6 linked regions of the Macaca fascicularis genome follow. The protein of the gene in region 1 interacts with the protein of each later gene in a pairwise test. Links are inferred from orthologs where the notes say so. Each region holds a gene or a part of one and is shown in the gene's direction. Other genes may lie near its edges.

What was found.
Region 2: the proteins of RTN4 (region 1) and CERT1 interact in binary tests that used the Homo sapiens proteins (3 or more experiments, as listed by UniProt). The link is inferred for Macaca fascicularis from reciprocal best matches to the Homo sapiens genes RTN4 and CERT1.
Region 3: the proteins of RTN4 (region 1) and SPG21 interact in a two-hybrid assay, tested with the Homo sapiens proteins (2 studies listed by BioGRID and IntAct). The two-hybrid records come from large-scale screens. The link is inferred for Macaca fascicularis from reciprocal best matches to the Homo sapiens genes RTN4 and SPG21.
Region 4: the proteins of RTN4 (region 1) and RTN3 interact in binary tests that used the Homo sapiens proteins (3 or more experiments, as listed by UniProt). The link is inferred for Macaca fascicularis from reciprocal best matches to the Homo sapiens genes RTN4 and RTN3.
Region 5: the proteins of RTN4 (region 1) and SYT16 interact in binary tests that used the Homo sapiens proteins (3 or more experiments, as listed by UniProt). The link is inferred for Macaca fascicularis from reciprocal best matches to the Homo sapiens genes RTN4 and SYT16.
Region 6: the proteins of RTN4 (region 1) and SNX15 interact in binary tests that used the Homo sapiens proteins (3 or more experiments, as listed by UniProt). The two-hybrid records come from large-scale screens. The link is inferred for Macaca fascicularis from reciprocal best matches to the Homo sapiens genes RTN4 and SNX15.

The regions. Positions count from the first base shown.
Region 1 is NC_088387.1:66,790,582-66,794,779, forward strand, and holds the start of RTN4 (reticulon-4), read left to right. Parts: upstream 1-1,398; 5' UTR 1,399-1,549; coding exon 1,550-2,105; intron 2,106-2,153; exon of another isoform or gene 2,154-2,269; intron 2,270-2,689; exon of another isoform or gene 2,690-2,767; intron 2,768-3,150; exon of another isoform or gene 3,151-3,301; intron 3,302-4,198. UniProt on the Homo sapiens protein: Required to induce the formation and stabilization of endoplasmic reticulum (ER) tubules. They regulate membrane morphogenesis in the ER by promoting tubular ER production.
Region 2 is NC_088380.1:79,525,945-79,530,008, reverse strand, and holds the start of CERT1 (ceramide transfer protein), read left to right. Parts: upstream 1-1,264; 5' UTR 1,265-1,266; coding exon 1,267-1,352; intron 1,353-1,493; exon of another isoform or gene 1,494-1,605; coding exon 1,606-1,999; intron 2,000-4,064. UniProt on the Homo sapiens protein: Shelters ceramides and diacylglycerol lipids inside its START domain and mediates the intracellular trafficking of ceramides and diacylglycerol lipids in a non-vesicular manner.
Region 3 is NC_088381.1:41,561,080-41,564,579, reverse strand, and holds part of SPG21 (maspardin), read left to right. Parts: intron 1-462; coding exon 463-608; intron 609-3,500. UniProt on the Homo sapiens protein: May play a role as a negative regulatory factor in CD4-dependent T-cell activation.
Region 4 is NC_088388.1:10,692,449-10,696,682, reverse strand, and holds the start of RTN3 (reticulon-3), read left to right. Parts: upstream 1-1,434; 5' UTR 1,435-1,849; coding exon 1,850-4,127; intron 4,128-4,234. UniProt on the Homo sapiens protein: May be involved in membrane trafficking in the early secretory pathway. Inhibits BACE1 activity and amyloid precursor protein processing. May induce caspase-8 cascade and apoptosis.
Region 5 is NC_088381.1:129,839,454-129,842,953, forward strand, and holds part of SYT16 (synaptotagmin-16), read left to right. Parts: intron 1-186; 5' UTR 187-330; coding exon 331-853; intron 854-3,500. UniProt on the Homo sapiens protein: May be involved in the trafficking and exocytosis of secretory vesicles in non-neuronal tissues. Is Ca(2+)-independent.
Region 6 is NC_088388.1:9,347,097-9,351,296, reverse strand, and holds the start of SNX15 (sorting nexin-15), read left to right. Parts: upstream 1-1,400; 5' UTR 1,401-1,500; coding exon 1,501-1,599; intron 1,600-4,200. UniProt on the Homo sapiens protein: May be involved in several stages of intracellular trafficking. Overexpression of SNX15 disrupts the normal trafficking of proteins from the plasma membrane to recycling endosomes or the TGN.

The DNA.
Region 1 (4,198 bases):
TTAATATTATACTTATCCCAATATATCCAAAATATCAATTTCAACATTAAGTCAATACGAAAGCTGAGATATTTTACATTTGGGGGGTACTAATTCTTGAAATCCAGTGCGCATTTGACACAGCACATCTAATTTCAGCCTAGCTACATACATTCTGAGTGTTCCATCAGTAACCACAAGTAGCCAGTGACTAAGTAGCCAATACCTGTCAGGTACAGCACAGATTTAGACTTTGAGCAACTTGAAAGCTGGTTATCCTTTTCTCTGCAGGGCCTCTAGAGTAGGCATGCAGTGAATATTTTTGAAAGGTAAATCAGAAAGATCCTGATTCTTACATGTTCTGCAATTACTTTCTTTAAACTCTCCAGCCTCAGAAAAAGTGGAATGGGGATCATGCTTATTCCTGCGTATCAAACCAATGAGTATGGGGCTTCCTGACTCCCAGAAGGCCTGAATCATCCGAAATGTTGACTCATGAACCTAAGGTGACTGAAATGTAACGTGAACCAAATTAGCTTTCCAAGGCATCTTTGCATTTCCACTTTCCGGTCTCCCGCTGCCTCTCTCTTTGGGTGACTCACTCTCCTACCATGTAAGAGTCCAGCATCAGGCAGGGCCCCAAACTCGCTTTGGAAGAAGAGCAGACTTTCAAATGGTCGGCCCCAGATCCCCAGTTAATTCAGCACAGCTGTTTTGCCTACCAATTCCAGGGGCTGCGGTTTAGACTGAGTGAGTCTGTCAAAAAAACAAGTTTTTTCTTATTTGAGGGCGGTAGTAGTAGTGATGTGGTTTGGAACATTAAGTGAAAAAATAATATTTTATTTCTAAAATCTTTAAAAATCCTTAGGGCCCACTTCACAGTCCCGTTAATAGCTTTCTCCAGTCGGGTTTCTTCCTTTCCCGGGAGGAAAGTTTCCACTCCCAGTCCCCCAGGATAACGCCCTTCCGGTGGCGCGCCAGGAACCGCGCCGACCCCTCCCAGCTAGCAGCCCGCCCCCTTTCCCAGTGCTCTACGACAGACGGACCCCCAGCTGCCGGCAAGGCCAAGACCCCACCCCAACTCACAGTTACTCAAAGTGGGGGTGGAGCTCCCAGCTCCCAGCACCGCCCATTGAACGCAATCCCCGCCGGTAAGAGAGAGGAAGTGCCGTAATCCCCACCCACTTTCATCTCCTTCCCTCTCCGTTGGCCTGGCTGGACGCCTATCTTCTCTATCCTGTAGCCGATTGGCTCTCTCCCTCCCGCGCCAGTCCCTGCCCTCCCCCGGGTAGGGTGAGTCACGCCAAACTGGGCGGAGAGTCCGCTGGCCTCTCTCCTAGCTCGTCTGGGCGGTGGCGGCGGCAACTGGGGACAGGGCGGGTGGCGCATCACCGGCGCGGAGGCAGGAGGAGCAGTCTCATTGTTCCGGGAGCCGTCACCACAGTAGGTCCCTCGGCTCGCTCGGCCCAGCCCCTCTCAGTCCTCCCCAACCCCCACAACCGCCGGCGGCTCTGAAACGCGGCTCCGGCGGCGGCAGCAGCAGCTGCAGCATCATCTCCACCCGCCAGCCATGGAAGACCTGGACCAGTCGCCTCTGGTCTCGTCCTCGGACAGCCCACCCCGGCCGCAGCCCGCGTTCAAGTACCAGTTCGTGAGGGAGCCCGAGGACGAGGAGGAAGAAGAGGAGGAGGAAGAAGAGGACGAGGACGAAGACCTGGAGGAGCTGGAGGTGCTGGAGAGGAAGCCCGCCGCTGGGCTGTCCGCGGCCCCGGTGCCCACCGCCCCTGCCGCCGGCGCCCCCCTGATGGACTTCGGAAATGACTTCGTACCGCCGGCGCCCCGGGGACCCCTGCCGGCCGCGCCCCCCGCCGCCCCGGAGCGGCAGCCGTCTTGGGACCCGAGCCCGGTGTCGTCGACGGTGCCCGCGCCATCCTCGCTCTCTGCTGCCGCAGTCTCGCCCTCCAAGCTCCTTGAGGACGATGAGCCTCCGGCCCGGCCTCCCCCTCCTCCCCCGGCCAGCGTGAGCCCCCAGGCCGAGCCCGCGTGGACCCCGCCCGCCCCGGCTCCCGCCGCGCCCCCCTCCACCCCGGCCGCGCCCAAGCGCAGGGGCTCCTCGGGCTCCGTGGGTGAGTGCCGCGCCCTCTCGCTTTGCGCCGCCCCTCGCGCCCCTCCCTCTTTTGTGTGCAGCCCGAGATGCTTTGGGCTGGGCCCTCCTCTCCGCCCCGAGGGGGCTTTGTCTGCAGACTTCGGGGCGATGGCGCCCCTCCTGGTTGGAGGCGCGGGGAGAAGGGTGGGGCGGCCCTTGGAGGCCGGGCTTGTTCTCATTGTCCGTCTTCGTTTCGGGGAACACGTGCACCGCACCCGGCTCCCACTTCTACCCTCTGTGGTGCCCAGCGTACCGATTCTCGGAAGTTAGGCACCCACCCGTAGTAGGAGCCGGGTGTATACCCGGGAACCAGGGTTGTGGATTTATTGGGTTGGTTGGGTTCGAAGTAAGGAAGGAAAGGCCTTGGCACCCAGACCTTTTTAGGAGGTGCTTTTGTCTACTCGTCTGGGTTGCTCCTTTGGAAAAGGTGCAGTTGTGCTGCGGGTCCGTTGGCTTGCATTCGGCCCTGGGCTCCCTTCTCACCTCCTGCCTGGCGTGGGTGGCTCCTTTGCGCTTCCCCTCCCCCTCCTGTGCTTGTGGGGAGCTGGCCGAGTGGAAAACGTCCACATTGACCCAACCGCAGTGAAGGGAGAGCGCCTCCAGTGGTGTGGTGCGTGGAGAAACGGGAAGGAGAGAGTTCTGGTGAAGTCCTGCCACCGCCCAGCTCACCGGGGTGTGATGTGGACTGCTCCCCACGAGCTAAACCGAGCCAGGGAGAGAGGATCTGGGCATTGTGTTCCGAGGGGGCGTAGTTCTGCCAGGGTTTCAGCTGCAGGGTCGGAGGAATTGATGTTAGTGTGGACTTGGCCCAGCCTCTTAGTGCATCATAATTGAATCTTAAAGAAAAAAATAAAAGGCAAAATGGTTGACATTCCTAAAGAAGGGCAAACCTGTGGATTCCTTGCCAGGAATTGGCTAATTGAACTCGTGGCAGATTTACCATGAGACATAGAGAAGTGTTTTGAGACAGACATTTTCATATATATTGGTTAGAAATACAGTTTTTCAGAAGTGATATGTTTTAGGTTACAGAATCAAAATACAGTCACGTGCCGCATAACGACCTTTAGGTCAAGGACAGACGCATATGCAACGGTGGCCCCGAAAGGTTATAATGGAGCTGAAAAATTCCTGCCGACTAGCGACGTCTTGATCCTGACCCTGTGTAGGCCTAGGGTAATGTGTTTGTATCTTAAGTTTGTAACAAACGTTAAAAAAAAAAAAAGTAGAAAAAAGCTTATAGAATAAGGATATAAAATTTTTTTCTATAGCTATAAAAGGTGTTTGTGTTTTAAGTTAAACGTTATTACAAAAGAGCCAAAAAGTTTATAAAATAGAAAAGTTACAGTAAGCTAAGGTTAATTTATTGTTGAAGAAATATATCTAAAGATAAATTTAGTGTAGCTTAACTGTAGAGTGTAAGTTGTACAGTAGTGCATGGTAGTGTCCTAGGCTTTCACATTCACTTGCTACTAACATCCAGAGCAGCTTCTAGGCTTGCAAGCTCTATTCATGGCCAATGCCCTGTACACGTGTGCCATCTTTTAATCCTTTGTACAGTGTATTTTAGGTATGTTTAGATAAGCACTACACAAATACCATTGTGTTACAGTTGCCTACAGTAATATTCTGTATAGGTTAGTAGCCTAGGAGCAATTGATTATACCATATAGCCTAGATGTATAGTAGGCTCTACCATCTAGGTTTGTGTAAGTACACTGATGTTTGCACAACGACAGAATTGCCTAACAATACATTTCTCAGATCCTGTTCCCACTGTTCAGTGAGGCATGACTGTATGTATGGTCTGTAAAATAGTTTTCAAGTTCTTTCTTTCACCTAAGTCCCTGATTGTATATTATTATTAGGCATATTGTTTTATTGCCGTTTTCATCTTGGGAAATTATTTTGGAAGGGAAAAAAATCACGTTTGTTAGAGATTGAGAATGCATAATAAATTAGATGCATTCATAAGTACTTGCTACTTCGGGGACGGAAAGCGTGTCCCACTAGCAGTAGGACCTTTAGGTATAAAAGGTCAAGAATCAAGTAGTGTAAACTGCCTGCTTGGAA
Region 2 (4,064 bases), on another chromosome or scaffold:
ACGATAGAGATAACCTAGCTTCATGCTACCAAACATTTAGAATCGTAATTAATCCCCCATTGAGGAAGTAAAAAATAGGAGACTGGGATATGGGAAAAGGTCATCAAGCCTAGATTTGAAACCAGGATATAAAGAGCTGGAATTACAGGCACCCGCCACCCTGCTCGGCTAATCTTTGTATTTTTAGTAGAGACGGGGTGGTCTCAAACTCCCGGCCTCAGGTGATCCACCCAACTCGGCCTCCCAAAGTGCTGGGATTACAGGCGTGAGCCACGGCACTCGGCTAGCGTTTTCCCTTAGACTCGAAATTTCGCTCCTATTGTCCCATCCTTGTAGTAAAAAAGGTATTCTTTCTAAGGCTTAATAACAAATTTTACTCTTGGCAATTATCAGGAACTCGACTATATTAAAATAGCTAACGAGAGGAAATTACTGAAGCTACAAAGTCAAAGGTCTCACCATCAAAGTTATCCTTGACAACTGACAAGAGCTGTTAGATCTTCTTTTGGTCTTTCTGCTAATTCAACCCTAGTCTTAAAAATAGCCACCTATTGCCTAATCCCCTAATCTCGTATTTCTAATACGAGAAAGTTTCTATATATCCAAACTTTCCTATCTTTGAGGGGCAGGCATGGTTAACGTGGTTCTCAGTAAGATATTCATTTACAACTAAGAGAAAATCCCAGGCTATCATCTGACATTCTTGTTTTACTTTAAAAACCTTTCTAACGTTATTTATTCTCTGACAACCTCAAAATTACTTTCCACAAAGAAAATTCTAGAAATCTAAAAATGCGAAGTGCGTGCTTGTCAGAAGGTACTAAGGAAATTCTTCCTTTAAACGTCAAATGTGAATTCTAACTTCTAATGGGTAAGACCCTCGAGATTTACAGCGGTGGTCTGGTGGAAAGAAAACCCCCTTGGCACTAGGAGCTCACAAAACCCCATCCCGTGGTTGAGGCGGAAGCGGCTACGCGCTCCCGGGCTTTCGACAAGCAGCCCTGCAACGCAGGCCCGTCATCTTCAGCAGAAAGCTCTCTCACGTCCTGGCCCGCAAGCCCGGAGGGTTCGTCATAAACACACAAGGCAAGGATAGAAGCGAGGCCAAGAGGCAGGTCACGCAACTGTCAAACGAAGCCCACCCACCGACTGACAAGTCCCCAAGGCGACAAGCGATCCCCGCGCGGGATACTCACCCGTTACCTCAGGATCGCGACTACAACTCCCAGGAGGCTGGGCGAGCGACGAACCAACGCCCTTCCCAGAATGCAGCACAGCGGCATCCCTATCCCGCCCTCTCCTTACTGCGCTCCTCCTACTTTTCTACCCCTCGTCATCCGGGAGAGCCGGAGGTAGGGTGCGGGAGGAGGATCCCGCACGCTTGGCGTGTCGCGTCAGACGCCGGGAGGGGGACGGGGCGGGGAGGAGGAGGGGAGAATGGGAGGACGAAGGGGAGGGGAAAGGACAGGGGAGGGGAGGGTAAATAGTGGGCCAGGCAGCAAGATGGCGGCGGTAGCGGAGGTGTGAGTGTACTCGGGTCTCAGCGGCCGGATTTTCTCTTCCCTTCTTCTCCCTTTTCCTTCGCTATTTGAAATTGGCATCGAGGGGTCTAAGTTCGGGTGGCAGCACCGGGCGCAACGCAGGGGTCCCGGCGACGGCGGCGGCGGCTGACGGCTGGAAGGGTAGGCTTCCTTCACCGCTCGTCCTCCTTCCCCGCTCCGCTCGGTGTCAGGCGCGGCGGCGGCGCGGCGAGCGGACTTCGTCCCTCCTCCTGCTCCCCCCCACAGCGGAGCTGGCACTCTTCGCTTCGCCATCCCCCGACCCTTCACCCCGAGGACTGGGCGCCTCCTCCGGCGCAGTTGAGGGAGCGGGGGCCGGTCTCCTGCTCGGCTGTCGCGCCTCCATGTCGGATAATCAGAGCTGGAACTCGTCGGGCTCGGAGGAGGATCCAGAGACGGAATCTGGGCCGCCTGTGGAGCGCTGCGGGGTCCTCAGTAAGGTGAGCAACCGGTGGTGCCAGGGGACCCCTGGCCAGACTCACCTGCCGCGAGGCAATCCGCTGAGGCGGTGGGGTGGGGCTGGCGGGAGGCGCGGAACGTGCCGGGGTGCGAGGCTGAGTACTGCTGCGGCGACTAGGGATGAGGCGGGGATATAGGGGGCCTGTCCTTGCTGCCCGAGGGCTCGTCGGGGGCAGCCGAGGACCAGGGAAAGGGTGTATCAACCGGGGATCCAGTTTGGGAGACCAGATGCGTGCCGTGCCTTGGGACCTAGGGCGGCAGCTGTCCCGGGTGTAAGGAATCCGGGTTGGGCTTCAGCGGTGTCCGAACGACTGGGCACGGGAGCGGTTCAAGTCGGACCTCTTAAAAGAGGTTGGTCTGTCTGAGGATGCCAAGCCGAGTAGGTTGGGGGGCACTGCGGACGCAGCTGTTTCGACAGAAGCCGGAGCGACTCAGCTTGGTGTTGAAATTTGAGGTGTTGAACTCGCCAGGTTAGATGTAGTGAGACAGATTAATGTGGAGGACTTTCTCCCTCACCCTGTACCTTAGTTCAGAATAGAGATATTGAATCGGCACGTGATGGGTACAGGAAATATTCATAGTAACTTGAAACATGTGAGAAAGGAGACTGATCTTTAGTCCAGGAAGAAGAGCATTATTTAATAATAAACTCTTTTTGCGGTAAGGGGTCCAGGGTAGGGAAAAGATGTTTTACCTTTTATGTATTTTTTAAAATCCGTGTATCAAAATTTTAGGAAAGCAGCCATTATAGAACTGCGGATGGGTGATCTCTTGATATTACATGGTTGGGATTTTTTTTTTTTTTAAGTTTTTGCTATAAGAAGATTCACATAGCCTTTTGGACTTCTCTCCCCCTTCCTGTTAAACTTTTTTAGAAATGGCTGGAGCTAGCAGTTAACTTGGAGAGGGGGAGCTGGGCCAGTCCCTCAACAAGCTGGTCATAAGATACTATGTCATGTGCAGCTACTGGCTATTAAGAAATCACCCTGTTTCCAGTATTCATACTTTGGCACATCACTTGGACATTATTTGTGGAATTGTTTAATATAATGCTTTTATAATGTCTGTAGAAAGCTAATGAGAAGGGAACTAGAAAAGGCATGAGTAGTCAGAACTAAGGATTGCAAGTGTTGACTTTTATTTGTATAGCCGAAAAATTAGTTGTATATTGATGCTGTGATCATTCTTGAAATTTCAATGCAAGGTTTTCAGTAACGAGAAGCTCCTCAGGATTTCTTTACATTAAATGTATCCTGTAATTTAGGAATCTCTATTGAACACATTGTGTAGTAGGTACACATTTTCAGTTGATAATAGGAAGTGGGTTACTTGCTTCTCAGTGATTTTGATAGTTTCATCACTGCTCATAAGATGGGAAGCTGACTGCCATATTAGTATTGTGATGTGTTGAGTATTTTACAAAACAAATTGTAATTTTGACCTACTGATAATTACTTTTTTGGGGGTTGGGGGAATGGAGTGACTGGGGGAAAAAGTCACCAGTGCTCTGAGTTTTACTTTATGTGGAGTAGGTATACTATAGATCAAAAAATGGAAGACCAATCTCGATATTTAAATGCATACAAATGCATTTGATCACCTCTGTGGAAGGTGAATAACTTAAATTTTGACTGTTGCTTCTTATGTAGAATGAATAGGAATACAGCTTTTGGTATTCTTGCTAATAGCTATGAAGGAAATTTTCCTGAGATTTACCAATTTATGGTTATATACAGTGTTTTCTGGAAACTTTTTAATCAAGGGTATTCTAAATTGAATATATATACTCATACTGAGTATGGTGCATGTTTTTAAATGTAAATTATATATTTTGAATTCTTCATATTCACCTGGTAATTTAAACAAGGATCAGAACTCGGCTTTTGTTCTTTTCCTTCCATTGAGTAATGTAAATAAGTCCCGGTACAATTTGTTTCGTTTGTCACCCAAAATGGGGTGGATTTGGAATGGGCTTGGGTAAATTTATATTAGAAATATACCAGTTCAAAGGGTATTTTCCATATGGTAATCTGAAATATATGGAAA
Region 3 (3,500 bases), on another chromosome or scaffold:
TTCAAGTGATTCTCTACCTCAGCCTCCTGAGTAGCTGGGACTACAGGCACGCACCACCTTGCCTGGCTAGTTTTTTGTATTTTTAGTAGAGGCGGGGTTTCACCATGCTGGCCAGGCTGGTCTTGAATTCCTGACCTCGTGATCCGCCTGCCTCAGCCTCCCATAGTGCTGGGATTATAGGCATGAGCCACTGCGCCTGGTCTGGTTTTGTTTTCTAATGCAATCTGTGAATGATATTTTTTTAAATTATATAACTTGGATGCAGAGTTGTATTCTCTTGATGGACTGTGTAAATTGCATTTAAATACAATATTTTCTAAATTTCTAGCTGCTGTAAATATTTTAGTGTATTGGCTAATGATAACATATTCTGTGGTTAGTGTTAATTGAAGCAACTTTTTAATACTCATGTTCAAGATTGATCAGTATTTTAGGATCTGCCTCATATTTGTTTATAATTAGGTTCATCTTTTTGGCGCTTCTTTGGGAGGCTTTTTGGCCCAGAAATTTGCTGAATATACTCACAAATCTCCTAGAGTCCATTCCCTAATCCTCTGCAATTCCTTCAGTGACACCTCTATCTTCAACCAAACTTGGACTGCAAACAGGTAAGAACAAAATTATTATTTCTGTTCAGTGAAATTTTGAAAATGTTGGCTTTTGAGTGTTTGGTATATTAGGAAGGGAAGGCTTACATCTACTTCTATATTCTGCAACTTCCTTGGCTTTTTTTTTTTTTTTTTTTTTTGATACAGAATCTTGCTCTGTCACCTAGCCTGAAGTGCAATGGTACAACCACAGCTCACTGCAGCCTTTATTTCCCAGGCTTAAGCGATCCTCCTACCTCAGCCTCACAAATAGCCGGAACTACAGGCAGGCATGCGTGGCACCACACCTGGTTAATTTCTGTATTATTTTGTAGAGATGGGATTTTGCCATGTTGCCCCATGCTGGTCTCTAACTCCAGGGCTCAAGCGATCTGCCCACCTTGGCCTCCCAAAGTTCTGGGATTACAGGCATGAGTCACTGTGCCCGGCTGTTTCTTGACTTTTAAAATTAGAAACAATTACCTTTACAAAAGGAAAGAATTGAATGAACTCTAAATTCAGCTTTATTACCCTAAATTTTTAAATTTTGTTTAATATTCATTAATACACTTTTGCTGTTTCTATTCAGTACTTCTATATAACTAATACCATGTTCTGTTTATCCCACTTATTATTTTGTGTAAACAGTTCCGTGTATTGACTGACATAGTTTTATTAGGCATTTGACTTTTCCCAATTCTTCGTCACATTCTACAGTAAATCTTTGTAAAAATTACTGGGTTTTTTCCCTTACCGATTTTTTTCCTTGAGATATGTTCTCCAAATGGAAAGACTAGAGCATTTGGTCTGTCAACAGATGTTCTGCACATCATGACCCTTGATATTAGTCTGTTCTTCCAAAAGATAGAAATGGTGGAAATGAGGCTGGGTGCAGTGGCTCACACCTGTAATCCCAGCACTTTGGGAGGCTGAGATGTCTGGATCACCTGAGATTGGGAGTTTGAGACCAGCCTGACCAACATGGAGAAACCCCGTCTCTACTAAAAATACAAAATTAGCTGGGCATGGTGGTGCATGCCTGTAATCCTAGCTACTCGGGAGGCTGAGGCAGGAGAATCACTTGAACCCGGGCGGCAGAGGTTGCGGCGAGCCGAGATCACGCCATTGCACTCCAACCTAGGCAACAGGAGCAAAACTCCATCTCAAAAAAAAAAAAAAAAAAACCAAAAAAAGAAATGGTGGAAATGCTTCAGGAGCAGCCAGGGGGGTACTTGTTTCCTAGGAGCCATTCTTTCATTGATTTTTATCATTTTAAGTAATTGATGGGTATCTATGATGCCATACAGCTGGCCACAGGACTTTTTTTTAAAGGCTGGAGCCTCGCCTTGCTAGCAATGAAAGAAATCTACAAATAATAATAATACTTCTATCTCTACAAATAATAATAATAATAAATTAGCCAGATACCATGGTACACAGCTGCAGTCCTAGCTAATCAGGAGGCTGAGGCAGGAGGATCGCTTGAGCCCAAGAGTTCGAGGCTGCAGTGAACCACAATCATGCCTCTGTACTCCAGGCTGGGTGACAGAGCAAGACCCTATTTCAAAAAAAAGCCCAATGACTAAACACATCTGTATGATCAGTGTTTTCAAATAATGTATAGGGAAGTATTGTTTTCACATCTACTTAAGATTGCACTCTGATATTTTTTAGTTTTTCTGATGTTACCTTAGTAGTTACTCAGTGTTCATGCAACAATTTCTTGTATACATTAGCTACTTTACAAATCCTTCCTGTCCAGATAATGCACTAAATAATGCTCATTATTTTTGGTGATTTTTATTGCTGTTCTAATTGTTAGACTGCCAAGACAGCCCCCATTCAGTTTGTGCTCTGGCACACGAGCTGCTTTTTGTCAAGTATCTGAGTGCTTACTGTGTGCCACACGCTGAGGATACAGGAGTGAGCAAAGCCAACAGGGTCTACCCCTTACAGAGCGTACTTAGACCTCATCACCTTCAAAAGATAAGAAAGTGATGGGGCTGGGAGAGAACTTAGAGAGTTAACTGGAAGGTGACTCAGTGTTCCTTTTGAGGGAAGCTCAACTTCCAGCAAGGCTGTCCCAATGATAATAAGCATCAGAAGGTAGTTTGCACCTCATCTAAGTAATTTTCATCATAGGTTTAGAGAAATTAGTGTTTACCCTCCAAGATGGCTCTTAACAGTTGAAATTAATGGAATAAATATAAACTAAAGATCATATATAGAAATCCATAAAGATCTGACCAGTCACAGTGGCCCACACCTATAATCCCAGCACTTTGGGAGGCAGAGGTAAGAGCATTGCTTGAGTCCAGGAGTTCTAGACCAGCCTGGGCAACATAGCAAGACCCTGCCTCTACAGAAAAAAAAATTTTTTTGAGATGAGAGTCTCACGCTGTTGCCCAGGGTGGAGTGCAGTGGCACGATCTGACTGCAACCTCCACCCCCCAGGTTCAAGTGATTCTCCTGCCTCAGCCTCCCGAGTAGCTGGGATTACAGGCGCCTGGCTAAATTAGCCCCTGGCTAATTTTTGTAGTTTTAGTAAGAGACAGGGTTTCACCATCTTGGCCAGGCTGGTTTTGAACTCCTGACCTCGTGATCCACCCACCTTGGCCTCCCAAAGTGCTGGATTACAGGCATGAGCCACTGCACCTGGCTCAGTAAATTTTTTTTTTTTTTTTTTTTTTTTTTGGAGAGGGAGTCTGGCTCTGTCACCCAGGCTGGAGTGCAGTGGCACGATCTCTGCTCACTGCAAGCTCCGTCTCCCAGGCTCACGCCATTCTCCTGCCTCAGCCTCTACTAAAAATTTTTGGTATTTTTAGTGGAGAGAGGGTTTCACCGTGTTAGCAAGGATGGCCTCCCAAAGTGCTAAGATTACAGGCGTGAGCCACACCTGGCCCCGGCTCAGTG
Region 4 (4,234 bases), on another chromosome or scaffold:
CGCCCAGGGCTGGGCTTGGTGGCTCATGCCTATAATCCCAGTGCTTTGGGAGGCCAAAGTGGGCAGGTTGCTTGAACCCAGTAGTTTGAGACCAACCTGGCAATGTAGCGAGGCACCATGTCTGCAGAAAGTTTAAAAATTAGCCAGGTGTGGTGGCATGTGCCTGTGGTCCCAGCTACTTGGGAGGCTGAGGTGGGAGGATAGCTTGAGGCCAGGAGGTCAAGGCTGCAATGAGCCACAATTGCACCACTTGCACTCTGGCCTGGAGGACAGAGGAAGACCTTGTCTCAAATACAAACAAATAAGTGAAGTAAGAAAGCACCAGCCCTTGGGATATTTGTTTTGATCCTTTTCCCCAGTAAAAACTTGTTAGAGTAGGAAGTTAGAAAACAGCGTGGTAGATTGATGGCTTATTAACTACTAAGACAACATATTACTTTGAGAAGGATATTTTCTATTTTAAAAGTAATTCTGGAGGTCACTCTTTTTTGTGTGTATGTGTGTGGAGATGGAGTTTCACTTTTGTTACTCAGGCTGGGGTGCAATGGCACGACCTCAGCTCACTGCAGTGCCCGCCTCCCAGGTTCAGAGGATTCTCCTGCCTCAGCCTCCTGAGTAGGTGGGATTACAGGTGCCTGCCACTACGCCTGGCTAATTTTTTTATATTTTTAGTAGAGACAAGGTTTCACCATTTTGGTCAGGCTGGTCTCGAACTCCTGACCTCAGGTGAGCCACTGCACCCGGCCCAGTTAACTCTGTCTTAACCAAAGAAATCAATTTGCACAGTACAATATTGATTTCAATGACAAGTTAGTACAAGAGATTTTGGAGGGGCCATGCGTGGCAGCTCACACCTATAATCCCAGCACTTAGGGAGGCCAAGGTGGGTAGATCACTTGAGGTTGGGAGTTCAAAACCAGCCTGGCCAACATGGTGAAACACCGTCTCTTCTAAAAATACAAAAATTAACCAGGCTTGATGGTACCTGCCTGTAATCCCAGCTACTTGAGAGACTGAGGCAGGAGAATCACTTGAACCTGGGAGGTGGAGGTTGCAGTGAGCTGAGATTATGCGATTACACTCCAGCCTGGGCGACAAGAAAAAGACTCTGTATTTAAAAAAAAAAAAAAAAAAAAAAGATTTTGGAGGGGGTCCACCTTTTTCAGTACGCTTTAGTTTAGAACATCACAGCTATTTATTTGTACATGGGACAGATTCTTCCTGTGGATAGAATAGAATAATTCTAGTCTCATTTTCAGGTTCAGGGAGGGTCTACTGCATCTCCTAAAAATCAAAAACAAGTCTGGCCACTTGTTTTTTTCCTTCTCAGATTGTGAGACTATAATAGTGGATTTACAGAGGCAGTCTGTGCTCTGAATTGTTCAGCTTACAGATTAAAGTCTATCAACTCTTTATAGTATCAGGTTATTTATTTTGTATCAATTATTTGCTTTTGTTGATTAGCTCTACCAAAATAATAAAAAACCTCCCAAGATTTCTCAATCTTTCCGCCCTTCTTTATGCTTTCTCTTTACAATGGAAAAGTAGTCCAAAAAGTATTTGTTAGGAAATTTTTTTGTTACTTGCAGTTTGTGGCATGATATGGCTTTTCTGTTTCACTGTTGGCAGCTTTATGCATGTCCTGTAGGATAACTTGATCATTTTGTTACATATTTATGTGTGTATATATACATCCTGTGTGTGTGTATATATATATATTTATGTAATTTAAAAAATAAAAAGCATGCTGCTTGGCTTGGCTAGCTAATGTGTAATTGTACCTGGTAAACAATTATTTTCTTTGAAATTCTTGAGCTCTCTTTGTTCTGATGAGCCATCTTCAGAAATTATGACATCTTCCTTTCTTTCATCTTCTGAAATACATAACAATGGCCTTACAATACTACATGGAGAAAAAAGCAATGTGTTAGGGAGCCAGCCTATTTTAGCCAAAGAAGGAAAAGACCACTTGGATCTTCTGGATATGAAAAAGATGGAAAAGCCTCAGGGGATCAGCAACAACATGTCAGACTCTCCAATTTCTCTTGCAGCAGGAGTTCATTGTGACCGTCCTTCTATTCCAGCCAGTTTCCCAGAGCATCCTGCTTTGCTTTCAAAGAAAATTGGTCAAGTGGAAGAGCAAATAGATAAAGAGACCAAGAACCCAAATGAGGTATCAAGTAGGGAAGCTAAAACTGCATTGGATGCTGATGACAGATTCACTTTGCTAACAGCCCAAAAACCACCTACTGAATACTCTAAGGTAGAAGGCATTTATACATACTCTTTGTCCCCATCCAAAGTTTCAGGAGATGGTGTTATTGAAAAGGATTCCCCTGAATCACCATTTGAAGTAATTATTGACAAAGCAGCATTTGACAAAGAATTTAAAGACTTGTATAAGGAGAGCACAGATGATTTTGGTAGCTGGTCTATGCACACTGATAGAGAATCATCCGAAGACATTTCAGAGACTAATGACAAGCTTTTTCCACTGAGAAATAAAGAGGCAGGACGTTACCAAATGTCTGCATTGCTCAGTAGGCAGTTTTCACACACAAATGCAGCACTGGAAGAGGTGTCTAGATGCGTGAATGATATGCATAACTTTACTAACGAAATACTGACTTGGGATCTGGTTCCCCAAGTGAAACAACAGACTGATAAATCTTCTGACTGCATCACAAAAACTACAGGACTTGACATGAGTGAATATAATTCTGAAATTCCAGTTGTAAATCTTAAAGTTAACACTCATCAGAAAATTCCTGTATGTTCTATTAATGGGAGCACTCCCATCACTGAATCAACAGGTGATTGGACAGAAGCATCTCTCCTACAAGAAAATGCTATCACTGGAAAACCTATACCCGACTCTTTCAATTCCACAAAAGAATTCAGTATCAAAGGTGTGCAAGGCAATATGCAGAAACAGGGTGACACACTTGCAGAATTACCTGGATCTCCACCTGAGAAATGTGACTCTTTGGGTTCTGGAGTGGCCACAGTGAAAGTGGTTTTACCTGATGACCACCTGAAAGATGAAATGAACTGGCAGAGCTCTGCATTGGGAGAAATCACAGAAGCTGATAGTTCTGGTGAGTCTGATGACACAGTAATAGAGGACATCACAGCAGATCTATCATTTGAAAATAAGAAAATTCAAGCTGAAAAACCTGTTTCCATTCCAAGTGCTGTTGTAAAAACAGGTGAAAGAGAAATCAAAGAGATTCCCAGTTGTAAGAGAGTAGAAAAAACATCTAAAAATTTTCAAGAGTTGGTCAGTGACTCTGAGCTGCATCAAGAGCAACCTGATATTCTTGGAAGGAGTCCAGCTAGTGAGGCAGCAAAAGTACCCAATATAAATGTCTGCTTAGAAGATGTGAGTGAAGTTGCTCCTGAAAAGCCTGTTACTACTGAGAACCCCAAACTTCCTTCAACAGTGTCTCCAAATGTTTTTAATGAGACAGAATTCTCATTAAATGTGACAACATCTGCCTACTTGGAGTCATTACATGGGAAAAATGTTAAACATATAGATGATTCCTCCCCAGAGGACCTGATAGCAGCCTTTACAGAAACCAGAGATAAAGGAATAGTAGATAGTGAAGGAAATGCCTTTAAAGCAATATCAGAGAAGATGACAGACTTTAAAACAACTCCTCCTGTAGAAGTCTTACATGAAAGTGAGTCCAGTGGTTCTGAAATTAAAGGCATTGGAAGCAAATACAGTGAACAAAACAAACAAACAAATGGAAGTGAGCCTCTAAGTGTTTTCCCTACCCAAGGTACTCCAGTAGCATCTCTTGACTTAGAACAAGAACAGCTCACAATTAAGGCTCTTAAAGAATTAGGTGAAAGACAGGTTGAGAAGTCAGCTTCTGCACAGCATGACGCAGAATTGCCTTCTGAAGAAGCACTGAAGCAAACTTTCACATTTGCTCCAGAATCTTGGCCACAGAGATCATATGACATCCTAGAACATAATGTCAAGAATGGATCCGATCTTGGGATTTCCCAAAAACCCACTACTGTCAGAGAAACTTCTAGGGTAGATGCTGTTTCCAGCCTTAGCAAGACTGAATTGGTAAAACATGTCCTAGCAAGACTTCTGACAGACTTCTCAGGTAACCATTTATATTAGAATACTGCATGTGGTTAATTCTGTGATTGATTACTTATCAGCGTGCCGTTTATGTTAGAGTCTGATTTATACCTACAAAATTATGGCTAG
Region 5 (3,500 bases), on another chromosome or scaffold:
GAGGTGAATAGGCACTGAAATAATCTACATCTAGGCTTTCACAGTCATTTTTATTTAACTATTTTAAGATTTCCATGATGATCCCTTTTCGTGTCCAAATGCTGTTTGACATTGTCTGTAGGTATCTGGTGATGGGTCTGAGGTTGTAACTTTAACAGGTGTAAGTATTTCTTTCCTCTGTTTCAGCTGGAAGTTTTGAGAGTGAAATATTCACAGCCATTAAGAGACCTCCAAATTAATTTCTCAACATGCTTATTCTATAGTTCACATTCAATCCAGAGCACTGAAGGAACTGAACAAGTGGACACTGTAGACATCAGATAGCTGGCCATGGTGTTGGCCATGGCGTCTCAGGATGCTCAGAACTTCTTCCAGCCTTTCTCTTCCTGGATATCTCGGGTTTATGAAGCTCTCCAGCAAGCAGGAGATATGTTATCTGCTTCGCTGGTTAACGTAAGCAAACAAGACTCTAAATTGAGTGACAAACTAGATCAGGACTTAGATAATATTCAGATTCAGGAAACATACTTTGAAGATGAAGAACAAGACAATGATTGGAGTCAAGAGGATGCAAATTCCTTGTTTCTTGAAGTGGATCATTTCTCATGTTGTAATAGTGATTTGCAGGACTCTGCCCAAAATTCAAGCCCCAGGCTTAGCCAACATGCAAAGGACTCATGTTCCACAATGTCCCAGTGGCCCAATCGGGCCAGTGATGACCACAAGTCACCACATGTGCTTTCTTCTATTGCGGAGGAAGAGCATCACCTTGAAAAGCAAAGAAGTGGCCTTCAACATGGCTTTGACAGCCAGCTCCCTGGTACTTTAGAAACTGTTAATGGAAAAAAGCAAGGTAAGCTAGCCAGTCATCATTTTCTCTGCGTTCCTCCAAAGAGTATTTCTACTTATTTTATTTTGACTTGTTTTTAGTTATCATGTGGATTTTATTTTTCTCTCTCTTTTACCTTCCCACATACTGGCTTCTGATTGAGAGATATAATCCTTAGGAATATTTTCAATATATAAAACTTTGGAAGATCCAAGTTTGGGAGTTCCATATTTCAAAACAATAGTTCTGAGCAAGTGAAATGGTGAAAACGAGTCTGTGGATTCTGTTTGAGAAGCCCCTTGTGCACATGTCATGCTTTTAAAAATATCTTGTAAAATGTTCTTTTTTTCTTCTAGGTTAGGAATTTCTAGATGTTACTATATTATTCAGTGTGAAATCCTGTGCAAAAAGCCATACTTATTGCAGAATTTTTAGTTGATAACACTCCAAGAACACTTCTCACAGTGTTTCACTGAGACGTGATGTGAGATGACAGTGGATAGGAAATCTTTGAAATAAGAATAGCTTGATTTTCTTTTAGCTCTGAATGGTAAGGACACATTTAATAAAAACTGCCGATAAAGATTTATGCTGTGAGAACTGAGCACATATTGGGCCTTCAATAAATATATATTGAATATGATAAAAATGTAATTGACTCTCTAAAAGTAGCTGTGGTATGTTCCAGCATGAATTTCTCATGCCTCTAATACTCTAACCTTGAAGTAAGGACATTCCACCTGGTTAAGGGACAGAGGTAAATGATATTCACAGAAGGGATTTGGGTATGTGTGCACGGTGTGTAGTTGTAATGCACATATAAGTCACACAGATTGGTGAGTCATTTATGTGATCTAAAGACAAAGTTATTAATGTCCCTCTTGTTGGAGAGAGCAGACTTTTCTGGAATACCTCATAGTCCCTTCATTCATTTTCCATGATTCCTATTAGCTTTGTCTTTTTAGGGAAAAGTTTTATTCAGATATATAAAGTCTTGGCATATAAGGAAACACAATTTCATATTCTTCTCATGCTTTCTTGATACTTTTATTCAAATTAAGGTAACATTGAAATGCTAGAATAAATTGGTGAAAATGAGGTAGGTTGATATTCTTTCTGAACCTGAGAAGCTATAGATAATTGCAATTTTGAGTCTTTTAAAATTGTCTATAGAGATATTCTAGAAATATCTGGGCCAGCAGTAGAATTTCTTAGATTTGAGTTGAAATTTTGGTTCCTATTTTAGAACATTCTTGAAAAGGTTGAACTATATTTGAAATTGATGTGAATTTGGCATACCGCAAATTTTGCTAATTTTTGTAATTGTAAAATCTAATGGCAGTAAAACAATTGTGTTCATTTGGCCCTTCCAGAGATGCTTATTCACTAGATTGGAGCCTCCAGGAAGTCAGGGACCATGCCATAGATTCATTTGTGTTTTCTTAACAATGAGCACAGTGTTGGGTGAGAGATTAAATAATAACAATGGAATAGCACCAAGGAAAGCTAACAACATTAAGAGGTAGATGCTATTATTATTCTCACTTTACAGTTGAGAAAATTGATGGCGAGAGAGTTTGATAATCTGTCCAATATCCACATTTATTATAGGAAGAAGCAGAGCTCAGGCAGTCTCATTCTAACATTTACACATACACATATTCTCTCTTTTTTTCCTTTTTAAAGGTATAATTTACTATAATAAAATTCATCCTTAGTATATAGTTCTATGCTTTTTGACAAATAGACACGGTCTTGTAACCACCACAACCAAAGTATAAAATGGTTTTGTTATGTCAGAAAATTCTCCTACATTTGTTTTTAGTCAGTCCTTTCCCTACTCCAGCCCCAGACACGTGTGGATACATTTTTAGCCTCTCCTGTTTTATCTTTTTCAGAATGTCATATAAATGGAATTATACAGTTTGTCGTCTTTTGAGTCCAGCTTCTTTCACCTGTCATAACGTGTTTGAGATTCATCCATGGTGTGTGTTTCAGTAGTTTTCCCTTTTTAATTGCTGAACCGTATTCCGTTGAATGAATGCACTAGTTTGTTGATTGATCAGTTGAGGAACATTTTGGTTGTCTCTAGTTTTATTTATTTCCAATATCAATGTCTATTATTTCTTTTTCTTGACTGATTACACTGGATAGGGCTTCTATTATCATGTTAAATAAGACTGGTGAGAGTGAATATTCTTGCCTCAATCTTAAACAGTGTTAAATCCTTCAGTCTTTCACTCTTATACTCAGTAGTTAGGTGCAGGCTTCTGTAGATGCTCTTTATTATGGTGAAGAAGTTCCCTTGTATTCTAGCTTCCTGAGAGTTTTTATCAAAAAAGGATGTTAAATTCTGTCAAATGCTGTTTCACATCTATTGAGATGATCATATGATTTTTGTTGTTTAGTATGTTCAAATAAATTACACTGTGTTTTGAAAGTTGAGCCAGTTTTGCATAGCTTGGATAAAATCCACTGGGTCGTGTTATGGTATTCCTTTAGTGTATTACTGGATTTGATTTTTTAGTCTTTGCTAAATATTTTTTTCCATTTATTTTTATTAGGGATATTGTTTTGTAGTTTTCTTGCCATATCTTTGGTTCTGGGTAATGTTGACTTTATGAAATGAGTTGTGAAGTGTTTTTCCTTTTCTATAGACTGGAAAAACTTG
Region 6 (4,200 bases), on another chromosome or scaffold:
CAAAGTGCTGGGATTACAGGTGTGAGCCACCACGCCCGGCCCCCATCTCTCCTCTTTAGAATGGCCCATGGGGATCCATTTTGTTAACACCAACAATTAGTTTCACACCCAGCGTGTAAGCCAGAAGGGTGTGTTCACGTGTCTGCCCATTCTTGGAAATACCAGCTTCAAATTCACCAACACTAGCAGCAACAATCAGGGCAGCACAGTTAGCCTGAGATGTGCCTGTAATCAGGTTTTTGGTAAAGTCTCTGCATCCTGGGCCATTGATGATGGTCACATAAGACCAGTACTGACTGGTCTTAATTGCCAGCAGGGAGGTAGCAGTGGTGATAGCACTCTCACGTTCAACTTTTAGCTTACCCAAGACCCAGGTATGCTTGAAGGAGCCCTTTCCCATCTCAGCAGCCTCCTCAAAATTTTCGATGGTTCTTTTGTGGATCCCATCACACTTGTAAATCAGATAGCCAGTAGTGGTGGACTTGCCCAAATCAGATGACAATGTTGAGCTGAGTCTTTTCCTTCCCCTGCACCCTTTCTTTTGAGATGGAGTCTCACTCTGTTGCCCAGGCTGGAGTGCAGTGGTGCGATTGCAGATCACCGCAGCCTCAACCTCCTGAGCTAAAGCCATCGGCCAGTTCCACCTCTGGAGTAGCTGGAATTACAGGTGTGCGCCACCACGCCCAGCTAATTTTTGTATTTTTAGTAGAAATGGGGTTTCACCATGTTGGACAGGCAGGTCTTGAACTCCTGACCTCAAGTGATCCACCTGCCTCCACCGCCCAAAATGCTGGGATTACAGGTGTGAGCCACGGCACCAAACCCCCATTTTGGCTTTGATTTAATGGTGATTTTCACGACACCTGTGTTCTGGCAGCAAGTCCATTGCAAGAAAGCTCCACTGACCTACATAGATTCTATTATAAACATCTCCATTCTACAAATGAGAAACTGAGGCTGAGTAGTTATGGGAAACTCCTACAGCTAGTAAGAGTCGTGACTCAGAGCCCATGACACCATCCTGCTTCTCCAGCGTTCTTTGCTTCCCTACTTTCCAGAAAACATGAATTAGGGAATCCTGACAGGGAAATAATTTGACGTTGTCCTGCACATAATGGGCACAATAGGAGTTGGGTGGATGAATGAAAGCAGGGATTTGGGAAGCAGGGGAGAGGTCCTTTGGAGGACTGTGACAAGGGTTTACGCTTGGATAGGGTGGGCTTGATCACCCGGCAGAAATGAGACGAGTGATCACAACCTCCCCCACCAATCTTTCCAATGACTTGGGTTTACGCTTCACCACAGAGAAGGAACTTTTCAGACGCTCCCTTGGCCGCGCACCCGGGATCGGAACAGCGCTGTCACTTGCGATAAAATCCCTGGGCCGGAGGAAGAAGGGCGCAGGCCCAGGCGAGGCGGCGGCGGTCGGAGGCCGGGCCGGAGGGGTGGGGACAGGGAGGAAGCGGAGTCCGGCGTTCCGCTCCGCTCCAGCTCGGTTTCATGTCCCGCCAGGCGAAGGATGACTTCCTGCGGCACTACACAGTGTCGGACCCCAGGACGCACCCCAAGGGCTACACCGAGTACAAAGTAACCGCGCAGGTGAGGTGGGGCCCAGCGCTTACTTTACCCTTTTAACTAGAGGGGCGCCGAGTTTTACCTTAAGGAAAGGCGCTGCAGCCACCACTCCCTTTTTAGACGACAGAAATGGGTTTCCCCTTTAAGCGGCGGTTGCAGTAAACGAACAAGGGTTCGTTTACTTCTTTAACCATCAGCGGGGCGGGGCCGTGAGTGGGCGCTGTCTTTTTTTAAAAGGGCGTGGATGGCCGTTCCCGGACAAGCAAGGCGTGTATGCCCACGCCCGGCGTGTAGTGTCTGGGCATCAGACTGTGAATTTCTGTAAATTAACATGAAAACTCTGGTTTAACCCAATTATTAGTACTCCAGTCTCGTAGAGTAAGTTTTGTTTATTGGTTTGTTTGATCTTACATAAAATCCCTTTAACGAGTTTAACCGTTTTTAATTTTTCAGAAAATAATACTGGTCAATGGTTAAAAAAAATTCATGCAGTTCGGAAGGACTTAAGGAGTAAGTCGCCATATCAAGGTCACAGCAGGAAGATAGATAGGCTAGAGTTGATATATGAAGCGATAGCAACATCATAAGCACAATTTATAGAGAGACATGGAGGAAACCATGAAAATAATTAAAAATAGTAAAACAGGACACCTGTAGAATGATATACAAGAACGGGTAACAAGAAGGTCCCCAGGGAGAAGAACTGTGTCACTGAGGACAGAAGTTGGGGAAGACTTTTTACTGTAAGTTTTTTGTACTTTTAGAATTTTCAACTAGGCGACTATTAAGCTGGTGCATTAGTTAACTATAAAAGCAAAGCAGGCACGTAAGGACACTTATAAAGTGTCTAAGTGCAGAATCTTAGCTATTTAAAATATGCTTTCCCCAAATCGTTTGTCTTTTCCATGCCTAAAAATAAATGCAAATAAGGCCGGGCTCAGTGGCTCATGCGTGTAAATCCCAGCACTTTGGGAGTCTGAGGGAGCAGATTGCTTGAGTTTAGGAGTTCAAGATGAGCCTGGGCAACACAGTGAGACCCCAGCTCAATATTAAAATGCACACACACACTTACACACACACCCCTTTTAAAAAATGCAAATAAAAACGTTGTCCCTGGGAAGATAGACTGGAGGTGGGGTTGGGGTAGGAAGGATGTGGCAAGGAACTGTAACCTTTTATTATAAGTCTTCCCAGTGGCTTTTTTGTGTTGTTGTTTATTTGTTTATTTTTTTGAGATGGAGTCTGCACTGTCGCCCAGGCTGGAGTGCAGTGGCGCGATCTCGGCTCACTGCAAGCTCCGCCTCCCGGGTTCACACCATTCTCCTGCCTCAGTCTCCCCAGTAGCTGGGACTACAGGCGCCTGCCACCGTGCCCAGCTAATATTTGTATTTTCTGGTAGAGATGGGGTTTCACCTTGTTAGCCAGGCTAGTCTGGAACTCCTGACCTCAAGTAATCCACCGGCCTCACCCTTCCAAAGTGCTGGGATTACAGGTGTGAGCCACCACACCTGGCCTCCCATTGGCTTTTTAAACCAAGCAACATGCATTATTTTGATATATTTGTGTACATATTATATATACAATGTATTATATATAATAAATATATAAAATATAAAGCACATTCTCTCACTCTCTCTCCCTCTGTCTCTCTCTCTCTCTATATATATATATATGTGTGTGTGTATATTTTTTGAGACAGAGTCTTGCTCTGTTGCCCAGGCTGAAGTACAGTAGTACTGTCTCAGCTCACTGCAGCCTCCACCTCCTGGGTTCATGCAGTTCTCCTTCTTCAGCCTCCTGAGTAGCTGGGATTATAGGCGTGTGCCATCACACCCGGCTACTTTTTGTGTTTTTGGTAGAGACAGGATTTCACTGTGTTGGCCAGGTTGGTCTCGAACTCCTGACCTCAAGTGATCCTCCCACCTCGGTCTCCCCAAGTGCTGGAATTACAGGCATGAGCCACCGCACCTGGCCTATATTTTTATTTTATTTTATTTTATTTTATTTGCGACAGAGTCTTGCTCTGTCACTTGGGCTGGTGTGCAGTGGCATGATTCGCGTCTTACTGCAGCCTCAAGTTCCTGGATTCAATCCGTCCTCCTGCCTCAGCCTCCTGAGTAGCTAGGACTACAGGCATGTGCCACCATGCCTAGCTTAATTTTAAATTTTTTTGTAGAGACACAGTTTTGCCATGTTGCCCAGGCTGGTCTCAAACTCCTGGCCTCAAGCAATCCTCTCATTTTGGCCTTCCAAAGTGTTAGGATTACAAGCCACACCGTACCTAGCTTCCTGTGGCACTACACGGTGTCAGGCCCTAGGTCCGACTAGCTAACACGGTGAAACCCCGTCTCTACTAAAAATACAAAAAAAAAAAAAAATTTTTTTTAGATAGAGTCTCGCTGTGTTGCCAGGCTGGAGTTGAGTGGCGTGATCTCAGCTCACTGCAACGTCTGCCTCCTGTATTCAAGTGATTCTCCTGCCTCAGCCTCCTGAGTAGTTGGGACTACAGGCGCCTGCCACCACGCCTGGCTAATTTTTGTATTTTTAGTAGAGACAGGATTTCACCATGTTGGCCAGGCTGGTCTTGAACTCCTGACCTCAAGTGATTCACCCACCTCGGCCTCC